Caenorhabditis elegans: one gene and its partner. The protein of the gene in region 1 interacts with the protein of each later gene in a pairwise test. Each region holds a gene or a part of one and is shown in the gene's direction. Other genes may lie near its edges. The genes, in order: nop-1 and lron-10.

The links.
Region 2: the proteins of nop-1 (region 1) and lron-10 interact in a two-hybrid assay, tested with the Caenorhabditis elegans proteins (one large-scale study listed by BioGRID).

The regions. Positions count from the first base shown.
Region 1 is NC_003281.10:5,956,829-5,963,128, forward strand, and holds nop-1 (Pseudocleavage protein nop-1), read left to right. Parts: upstream 1-1,893; 5' UTR 1,894-2,057; intron 2,058-2,478; 5' UTR 2,479-2,479; coding exon 2,480-2,515; intron 2,516-2,563; coding exon 2,564-2,623; intron 2,624-2,671; coding exon 2,672-3,028; intron 3,029-3,075; coding exon 3,076-3,417; intron 3,418-3,474; coding exon 3,475-3,648; intron 3,649-3,696; coding exon 3,697-4,207; intron 4,208-4,256; coding exon 4,257-4,387; intron 4,388-4,436; coding exon 4,437-4,524; intron 4,525-4,580; coding exon 4,581-4,766; intron 4,767-4,813; coding exon 4,814-5,208; 3' UTR 5,209-5,494; downstream 5,495-6,300. Other genes in the region: nono-1 (RRM domain-containing protein), read right to left, coding at 1-6, 864-1,218, 1,272-1,387. UniProt on the Caenorhabditis elegans protein: Required for formation of the pseudocleavage furrow during the first cleavage of the embryo and also mediates aster-induced furrowing during cytokinesis.
Region 2 is NC_003281.10:10,617,149-10,621,957, reverse strand, and holds lron-10 (eLRR (extracellular Leucine-Rich Repeat) ONly), read left to right. Parts: upstream 1-1,747; 5' UTR 1,748-1,749; coding exon 1,750-1,798; intron 1,799-2,662; coding exon 2,663-2,997; intron 2,998-3,725; coding exon 3,726-3,905; 3' UTR 3,906-4,092; downstream 4,093-4,809. Other genes in the region: Cell cycle checkpoint protein hpr-9, read right to left, coding at 1-116, 170-240, 290-401; mrpl-22 (Large ribosomal subunit protein uL22m), read right to left, coding at 4,167-4,351.

The DNA.
Region 1 (6,300 bases):
TGTATCCTGTGAAGTAAATTGAAATAGAAATGAGGACAATAAGAAGAAAAATTAAATATAATTTGAAAATGGATCACCTTTCTTTTCGAAAGACTTTAGGGAGATAGTTGAAGCTTCTAGAGAAATCTAAAAGCACGAATGAATGCATAATTAATCGATAAAACAATTAAAAGGCTCAAAAATTAAAAGAAAACTCTAGAAGCTTCATAAATAATATTCTATACGAGATAAACTTCCAAGCTGCGATATAATGCGAAAAATTGAATTTTGTCTACGGAATTTTCTCTCAAAGGAATTTTCCGAAAGTAACCAGACAAGCTCTGAAAATTTTCGGTGACATAGAAAATAGTTTGCTAATGAATAAACAAAGGAAAAAATAAAGTTATAGGACCTCCAGAACCTGCTGGTTGAAAGTAACAAAATTATTTCTTTCAACAGGAGACTATTTGAATTAAAGAGATGGATTTTCTACAATAATTGACGTAGATGCAAACTTCTGTGGACCGTAGAAATCTGAAAACGCGTTGCCGAGGTAAACCAAGCACAGAAAATATTTTTACAATTAGTTCACAAGTTTTGATATTTTTAAAAACACGAGTCCACAGGAAGAAGTTACGATTGAGATATACATTGGGTTGAGTTGCAATTTGAAGTTTAGAAACAGCGAGTAAATACACATAGAGATGGTGGAGTCCACTAATTTTGAGTTTACGAGAATGAGTCCTTCAGCATTTGATAGTATTTGAGTACCCAATGAGTCCGATTTAAATGTGTACTTTTGGCAACCTCGGCTTCGCGGCGATTAGTGAAAATAGATAGGAGAGGTGTAAATGCAACTTTAAAAAATATTTAAATAAACTAACCAGTCTTAAGAACGCAAATCCTTTTCCAGATAAATAGCACTCAGCAATATCTCCATGTGGAGAGAAAAGTTCTTTTAGCTCGGTTTCTTTAACTTCATTTGGCAAATTTCCGACGAAAAGCCGACATCTTCCAGTGAACTTCTTTTTTGGAACTTCATCCATCAGTTGGGACTCAGTGAACGCTGCTCCATTGAAAGAAGTTCCACCACCACCACTTCTTCCACCACCACCACCGCTTCTGTGTCCTCCATTGTTGTCGTACGGCTGTTGAGCCGGAGCAATTCCACGTTCGGCTCCACCGCGGTTGCCTCCACCTCCGCCACCACTGCGAGCTGCATTGTTGGAATTTCCACGCCTGAAAATATAAATTGTACAGAATACCAACTAAATATGTAAAGAAAAACTTACTTTTCATCTCCTCCGCGATTTTCCCTCCCTGGTTTGCGATCGTTTTCCGCTTTTGCAACTCTTGATGAATCATCACGACCATTTGAACGCCTGTTGTCTCTCCTTGCACCACTCATCTTTTAGAAGGTTTTTTGTTATTCTCCTTCTGCAAAATTAAAATAAATAGTTTATTAAAAGAAAGAGATTAGTGAAAAATGAACGGATCGATAGAAAAGGGTGCACACGCGGCTGAACGCAGCGCGGAGAGACGCGTCGCGTCTTCCATACTCTGTCTTTGAGTGGTTAGAGAAAGTAGAGAGGGCACAGAGAAAAAGGAGATACCGGAAAGAAAACGAACGCGTCGAATTAAAATAAAAAAAACATTCACAGAAGCTGAATGATTTAAACATTTATGACTGCAATCGGGTTTATTAATCGATGTTTTTTTTAATTAAAAACCCGGTCAAAATTGCAAAAATAAACTAGAAAACAACTATATTCAAGAAAATAAAAGCCGCAAAAAATTTGTACAAATTCGAATTAATTCATGATGAAAACTTTCAAGGCGCACAGAGTTCATCAAAGCAAGTGTCCTGCCACGACAAGAAAGTTAAAGGAAATTTAATTAATTCAGTCGACGGGTCTCGTTACGATTACCGTAGTAAAACTGTTTTTGTGTTTCGCAATTTTCTCACGTTTCTCACGTTATTGTGTTCCATCGCTTCTAGCAAAAACGGGCTCAAATTTTCGGAGTCGAAAATAGGCAACGACGTCGAACACGTTCGATTTACACGCTTTAGAAGAAGTGTAAGTTTTTAATTTTCAAAACAAGAGCCACTATCTGTGAGAGATTGCTAATTGTAAATTAAATTGTTGTTCCATCCAATAATTCAATCGTTTGCATATTCATAATTTTTTCTCGGCTTGTTCAAAATTAAAATTAGTTTAAAAAATACCTTTTAATCAAAAGATTCAAATAGTCTCGTCTTTGGAAAAGTGGTTGAATTTTCGAACCGAACCGAACTCTCGACCGAAAAAACAAACTTATTATCTTACTTACTAACTTGTTAGCAATACTCACAATACGTCGCTTGTTCTCATTCTTATGGCTGTGAGTAAGTGTGGACTAGCCATTGCGCTGGTTGGCCTAGCAGCTGCGGTATTGTCCCGCTTACCGCGTCATTCAAATAAAAAAGTGTTCTCCTTCAATTATCGACCCATTTTTCAGCATGTCGGCGCCGAAGAAACGAAAAAGCGACATTCACGTAAGTTTGAATTTAAATTATTTACAAATTAATTGATGTATTTTGCAGAGCGATGATCGTGATCATGCAGATCACCAAACGAAAAAGGAGAAACATTGGTTCGAGGAGGTATTTATTAATCCCTTTAGATGTATTATTAACTCGTTTTTTTTTCAGAAATCTGAACAGAATGGCGAGAACCGAAGATCTTCAATTTTCAAAGGATTTCTCAAGAAGGTGAAGAGCTCCACTACTTTGAAGAGCACCAACAAATCTGCCTCATCTTCAAAAATGGACACCATAGCGAATGAGACGCATCTTTCAATCACCAGTGAATCAAGCATCACTTCCGTGGAATCCTGTCACAGTGCACAGTTTCCTAACGTCGCGAAGAATGCGATGCTTCGTACTCTTGTCAATAGGGATTCATTCACACCTGTTCCACCTCCAGACGGTGAAAGTGTGACTTTCATATTGCCAGAGATAGGCTCATCGAAACTGGAATTCACTTCAAAGATGGATGATGCGATTTCGGTACGAGAAAAGCATAGCAAAATCCACTTCGCAAACATTTATTTCAGATTGAATCTCGAATGTCTATTGGATCTTGCCACACTATCGATGAAGACTCTGCTTCCATTGGATCCACCTCTGTTTTTTGTACTCCAAGTCGCAATCCATTGATGAGAAATGGATTACGTATGTCGACTAGAAGTGTTCCTGAAAACCAAGATGATATGCCTCCAGCACTATTCCGATCTCTTTGCAATAGCGCTGTTCGTCGAGTTCCCACTTCAAAATCTGAAGGTGGTGGTACTCCGATGCGGCGTTCCATGCGGATGTCCATTCAGAAACGGAACTTGTCTTCGAAAAACATGGAAGATGTACCAGAAGAAGAAGCATTGACGGTCTCTAATAGTTCGGTAAGAATAAAATTATATTGAAATTACATTATTTATTCGTTACCACTTTTTTTTCAGATTCGTGTTGATGCTCCAATTGCTGAAGAAGACGAAGAAGTGTTCGGGGCGGCTAAGGAATATTTTGACAACAATGTCACATCACACAATGATTCAGCAGATGAAGGGACATGCTCAATGTCACGACTTTCGACGACGTCCGAAAGAGCTTCTGGTGTTGGAGGATCTAGCATTGTGAGTTTTTTCTGATATCGAAGCGTCTTTGACGAGTGTAATGTATAGTTTCAGGGACGCCGGAGCTCAATTTTCCGAAAAATCTTCCCAGGAAAAAGTGAATCGAAGGATCGGAGAATGAGTGACAACAACCAAGCGTCGGAGCAGTATATGGACAAAAAATCAAGACGGGCATCTGTAGTCTCTTTCAACGAGTTCACATCTGTCAGCGGACTCTCTGTAAATGATTCTGCGAGCAAAAATCCGAAAGACTTGACGGAATCACCTCAGCAACCAAAGCTTCGAAAGAAAACGGCATCTTCTTCTAATCTGTCGCAACGTATTTCTTCAGTTTTCCGAATGGGCTCAAATTCGACAGTGAAATTGAATGAGTATGTTCCCAGTCCAATCGTTTCTCAATCGTCGCGTCGCAATACGCTCACTGGGAATTCGTCGATTTCATCTGGAGTCGGAAGTATAGCCAGTGGAACATCAGATCAAGGATACGGGACGATTGGGTCTAGATCCGGTCAAAGCATATCAAGATGTGGATCGAGGCGTGATGATGAAGGCAAAAAAGGTAATCCCAAATGATTCAAATATCCTGTTTATAGAAAATGTATTTCCAGAACGCACTCGACGCCTTCTGGACCGTATTATCATTTCCGATGTTCCAGCAGGAGAGCTTCTGAAATTAAAAATTGAACAAGTCAAAAAGCAGAAGCAGTTGGAAATGGATGAGTTGTTTGAAACTCAACTCGTAAGTTGTATCCGAGTTGTATGAATAAATTCAATACAATTTTTTCCAGACTGAATCGTCGTCCTCCGACACTTCTCAAAGCGAGAATTTGCAGTTTGATGTCGTGGCTGTTGATATCAAGGCAGATGGATCTCCATGTAAGCCAACATTTTATTGCATAACGATCCTCATATTCTAATTTGACATATTTCAGTTTCCACTACTGCTGCCACATTCATGGACAGTGAACTTTCGAAAAGGGTGAAAGAGGAGATCGTGTCAAATTATCGACCTGATCGCTGCGGATCAATCACCGAATACGAACCGGAGCTCGTGTTTGTGATGCCTGAGCAGCCACAAGCGAGCTTGAAAAGTCTTAATGACTCGGTTTCCTCTAATGGTAAATATTCTCAATTGAATGTTGATTTCAATTTTTTTGAATTTCAGCTGACATCAACCTTGATCACCTTCGGAATGTTAGAAGTGGCTTGTGCAAGTCGATTGAAGAATGGAAAAGGATCACAAAAATGCGAGAATCATCTACAATGCTCATTTATCCAATGTTCTGCCAATCAGAAGAGGAATGGGATTCAAAAGGAACCATCGACGCAATATTCCTGATGCTCGATGGAATATTAATGAATACAAAACGATGGATGCCGAACGGAAAATGTATTCTCGCTGGGGTGACTCCAAATAATGTCATCCTTCTACGCAACAAGTTCGATGAACTCAAACTGTCGGTTGCAATCTCCGAATCTGATGGGCCGGCAAGTTCAAACGATGATTTCGACACTCAATCCACAGCGAGCACTTCAACTGTGTTTGGAGCTAAAATTTGAGCTGTGAAATGTGTGTCTTGTTGTTAAATGTATTATCGATCTCGTCAATTTTCAAAATTTCTTTCAATTCATGTTACCTTTCTCTTTCCTCCTCAAAACGGTTGATATATTTTTTTGTGTTTTCATAGCAAGTTTTATTATCTAAAAATTAAGCTCTACACCTTTTCATCCTTGCATTTTTCTCTTCACTTTTTGAGGATTACTGTGAATAGAATGCCCCTGATGTTTCTATCCTCTTTCCCTCGATTTGTTCGTATTTTTTTGTAATAAAGTGTGTGAAGGCTTACTATTTTTTTTTGAGGAATTTTTGATTTTCATGAAACGTCCTTCATTTTTGGAGTTTTGCAAAAACGAGGTGAATGAATTGATTTTTTCAATTAAAAAAAAAGAAAATATTTCATCTCTCAACTTTTCCATCCGATATTCCAATTCGGATGGACCGGTTAGTTGTTGCTCAATGGTTGATCAATCGATCATTTGAGATAACTCTGCGTCTCTTAATCTTCTATACTATTTTATTATCTTTGTCTCAATTGATAAAAAGAGAAACAAGTGTCTAATGAGAGAAAGAAATATTTTTGTGTCCATCGGCTCTTCTTTTCTCATCCACTTCAATTCGATGTTTGTCCACCTGTTGTGAGTGTACCACGTGGAAGTCCGAATTCCACGAATTTAATTTTATCAACGGAATATTTGAATTTCAAAAATGTGAGCACACGAAAAAAGTGCAGAAGATAAATTGAAAAAGAGATAGGTAATCTGATATCATAAGTTTCATCTCTTCTCACTTATTTCCTTTGCATTTATCACTTCAAGTTCATTTTATCACCCTTCTCTCTTATTATTTGTTTTCTTTATCCTGGTTTAACCGAGATTTGTTTTATGGGATTCTCGCTGATTATGAAGAAAATTACGGGTTTTTTTGCGCCAAAAATACGGTGACGCGATAGATTTTAGTTGAATACAAAAATGCGCAGATCTTTAAATAAAAATAAAAAATTTTTTATCAAAAAAGTATGTCAAATTGAAGCAAATTTCGCAATAACAGAAGTTTGAAGTTACAGTACTCTTTAAATTTAAGTTTAAAGGGTA
Region 2 (4,809 bases), 4.7 Mb from region 1:
AATCTGCAAATATTCACTGCTTTTTTGTTAATCATTGATACATCGCAAGCGTTGAAAAATTCTGGTGCAAAGCGGAACACGCAGAACTTTGAACGGTTCACTGTTTTGAAGAAGAGCTGGAAAAAAACAAAAAAATAATTTTTTAGCCGAAATTTGACTTTTGACTCACCCCGCCTTCGGAAACCTCAATTAACACGTCTTCAGAGATTTTGCTCAGCGCTGCGATGGATCTTGACATAACTGAAAGAAAAATAAATAAATAATCCGGCTAAAACCCAGAAAAAGTCACTTTTAAGATTGGATTGGACCACAAATTGGGCGCCTTTCATATCTTCATGCTGCCTTTCCCTTGTTATTGATGACGATGGATTATCTGTATAATTTTCATGAATGGCTTGCATTTGATTTGAGATTTCCCTGAAATTTCAAGGTTTTTAAAGAGAAAAATTGAAATTCAGAATAAAATTTTGAATAAAAAAGTTTTCCTCTCGAAGTACACGGACGAGAATCCCCCGTCGCTAGGCCATGCGCTGCGGACTCCTCTCGAACGATTTTTTATTTTTTATTTTGATTTGTTTTGTGATTTCTGACATTTTCCCTTCTTTCCCGCGGCGCATGCATTCTCGTGTTTCCACAAGAGAACCGGTATCCCGTGCAGAACATGAAAAGACGAAAAGAAAAACCAGCGATGCGTCATATATCGTTCTTTTTATCCGTCAGGAGGTACGCTGGACATGATAAATGGAGTTTTGTTCCAAACTATTCGGTGTCATGTGCTTTTTTCCTCTTCATTGCTCACACATATCCGCTTCTTCTTCTTCTTCTTCTACCCCGCTTTTCCAAAAAAAACGCAATAAATATTCTTTATTCCTCAGGCTAAAGGTTTCCTGGAGCATCAAAAATCTCAAATTTCGTGGAAAAATTTTTTAGATTTCAGGTTTTAGGCTTACTCAAGTTGTGGAATTTCTGAATTTCAGACTAATTTGGGTATTTTAAATCGAAATCATTATTCCTAAATTCGGTAATTAAAGTCGATTTTATATAATTTAATCGTAGTACTTTTGAGCAGGGCCCTGCAGGGGTGGGTTGCCGTTCGGCAAATTGTTTTGTCGACAAATTCGGCAAATCGGCAAACTGCTGATTTGCCGGATATCAATTTTCCGGAAGTTTTTAAAGGGATTATTTTATAAGTCGGAAGCACTTAAAACTGCCTTTTTGAAATGTTTTCCCGTTTTCTATAGATATTTTCATAGAATTTCCTTAATTTTCAAAATAGATGTAGGAACATTCATAGGATGCGTACAATCTTGCCGATAAAATTGAAATTCTGAAATTTCCAAAAAAAAATGTGCAAAACCACAATTTGACGAAAATTTTAGGCAAATTGGCAATTTGCCGGTTTGCCGATTTGCCGGAATTTTTTACCCCTGCTTTTGACCATTCAAAATTTTCAAATTAAATACCTTAAAATCCCATTAACATAAAAAAAAATGGCATTCCACTTCAAGTACCTCTACGCTGTAAACTGTGGTTGTAAACTAACCGGACCCCCATCCAAATCGATTAAACCACCCCTTCTCCTTTCACATCTGCGTCTCTATTGATATGAATCACTCTCTCATCCAAAATGCCCAACAATCATTTTGTTCCATTGTTTGTTTGAATGTGCCATGTCCACTCTTTGGGTCTCTGTTTGCTTTTCCAATACACTCCTTCTGGATATATATTTCATTTTTGTTTCGTTTAGGCATGACCTCCATCACATCTGCATTTCTTCTTCTTCTCCTCTTTGTGGCAGGTAATATACATAGTTTAAAAAAAATTAATACATCGAAAAAGCAAATCCAATTTATACAACAATATCACATGCATAACTATACAAAAATTTCTCACAAAAAATATCATAGAAAAGAGACCATCTTCAAGTAATTTTGCGGGAAATTATTTGCTGTAACTTTTTACTAGGTATTTCATTTTTAATTCATTAACATTATACAACTTATTCTTGAAGCCGAAACTCTCTATCCTAAAACATGATTTTAAAAGCCACTAATTTCTGAATCGTATTCAAATTTCGCGATTTCAATTTGGATCTTCATAGGCATTTTTAAAGTTGTATTTAATTACAACACGTCATTTTTTCAATTTTACAAGCTAAGAACCTGTAATCTTAATCATCACCGTCTATGTATGCGTATATACGATTTTTAATTACGCAACATTACACGAACGGAGTCTCTATACAAACATAGCGGCTATTTTATGACACATCATCGTGAATTGAGAGATGATACATTAAAAAGTGAACTCTGGGAATCTAGAATCTAGTTTGGATTGTTTTTTGAATTACTCATCATAGTGAATTCATGTGAGTCATGTAAAAAATTGAATGAACAATTGTAAAAGTCAATCAATGGAATGGAATTTGCTTCCGAAAAATGAATGAATACTGCCGAATTAAAAAAGAACATCTAGTAGTTGAAAAATTAATTTAAAAAAACTGAAAACATTTAGAAAATTATTTAAAAAGTATATTTTCTAGCATTTAAAGCAAAAATTCTTCTCCGTCTTTATTTTCTGATTAGTGCCTATTAACGAAATAAACACATAAAACAATTAATACATTCTAGTTAAAATAAATCTAAAATTCCAAAATGTTCAGTTGCCTGCCGATCAGTTCCATGCCTGGACGGATGTACGTGTGAATTGTCAGAACATGATCCAGTGATCAGATGTGATGGCGTTGGTCTCAATCGTTTCCCATTGCCCCATTCATCACCACTTCGCGGTTTCCATTTCCTGGCACTCACTTGCAATGACATTGACACAATTCCGGCGATTAGCATGATCAAAGCATCATTCCCAGATCTTCAGGGAATTGATGTGCAGGGAAATACTCGGTTGAATTGCTCCGATTTGGTGCATTTGCACAAGGATATTCCAGTTTTGTCGGATTGTGATAATGAGAAGCCGTTGCAGTGTGATAATCTTGATAAGGTTCGCGAAAAAGATTTGAAAAATAGAAAAAATAACAGTACTACCAAATTTCAGAGAAAAGCGAAAATTTTCGATTTTTGGTTTTTTTTTCTAATTATGGGAAATCAGGGAAAATAAGACATTTTCTTCCGAAAAATCAACAAAAAAATGTACAAAATTATACGAAAAATTTTGATTTTTCGATATTTTCAAAAAAAAAATTGAAGAACCGATTTTTCATGGCACAACATTATTTTTTGCGGTATAATATAAAAACGATTAAAAAAAACGAAAAACGCGAAAAATCGAATTTTTCCAGAATTTTCAATAAATGACACTCGGAATAGTTACTAAAGTGCAAATTGGTTTAAAATATTTACATTTTCCTAAAAAATTAAAAATTGGATTTTTTTCCAGAAACTTGAATTTTCTACTTAAAATTTGCAATTTTTCCTTTACATTTTACCGAAAATTTGAAAGTTTTCAACAAAACATGATTTTTTTAACCTAAAATTGAATTTTTCACCTGAAAATTCTAACGTTTTCTCAAAAATAAATTTTTCCGACAAATTTAAATTTTTATAAGCTAAAATTGGAGTTTTCCCTGAAAATTTGAAATACCTTAAACAAGTTTTCTTGGCTGAAAATTATTTTTTTTTAATAATAAAAATAGTATTAAAATTGTGTGCTCCTCTCGGAAAATATCACAATTTTTCATATCAAAGATCCAATACCTTAACCTTTTTCAGAACTGTGACTGGAAGTGCCGTACACTGACAAAACTCAAAGAAATGTGGGCTCAATTCAAGGATCTTGTCAACCGAAAAGCCAAAGAATGGCAAGCTGAGGAGACGATCGAGGCGGCGAAAAGCTGGTTCAGTGCTCAATTCAAAAAGTTCAAAATCGCGATTGGCGAGCTCTCCGACTAATTTTTAATTGAAAAATTGTACATATTTTCCTATAACCCTTCCTTCCCAAATTTCTCTTTCCCCATTGGCCAAAACGATTCGCATAATTTGAAAATTGTTGTATCTCATTGTTCTCCCCCAGCCCTTACTTAAGAGATTACGGTAAAAAACAGTATTCACATAAATTTCTATGAATAAAAAACTCATTTTTAAAAAAAATTTTACCAATCGATCAACAAAAATTATAACAAAAAAAAACGAAAAAATTGTCTAAAAAAGTTCCTAAATACTATATTTAACGGTTCGAGAGCGAAGATAATTGTAGTACTCGTCCATATGATCCCAACCATTTTTCTGTGGATGACGTTGTTTTTGCTGTGGAGCCGGACCTTCTTCTAGACGGACGAAAATGTGAATGTATCGGTATCGAATGGTGTTCCAGTTGTCGTGAGCGTGACGGCGGGCTCCTGAAAAAAAGTGACTTGAAAGATATATTTTCCAGAAAACTCATTGAGAACAAATTTAAATTTCTTCTGATTTTTTAATTCTGCAAAAAAATCAGAGAAACTGCCGAATGAATGTTCTAGATCCGATATTTTTGCCTTTTTCTGGCTAAATTAATCAATAAAAATATTATTATTATTATTTTGATATTTGATTTGAAATAATAAATTATTGTTCGTTCGATTTTCAGAGATATTTCTTCGTAAAGAAAACTTGAAAGAAATTGGTGGAAACTTCAAAATTAGCCTAAAAATTGATAATTTAAATAGCAGTTATTGATTTTTTTTTTGGTAGAAAGTTATATTTGGTCATTACGGACTATTTTCTTGTATCAAAGTGCCAACGAAAAATTTATAGATATTTTCAGTGAAAATTGAAAATTGAAAAACGAAAATTTTTGATTTTTTTTTTGTAAATCGAA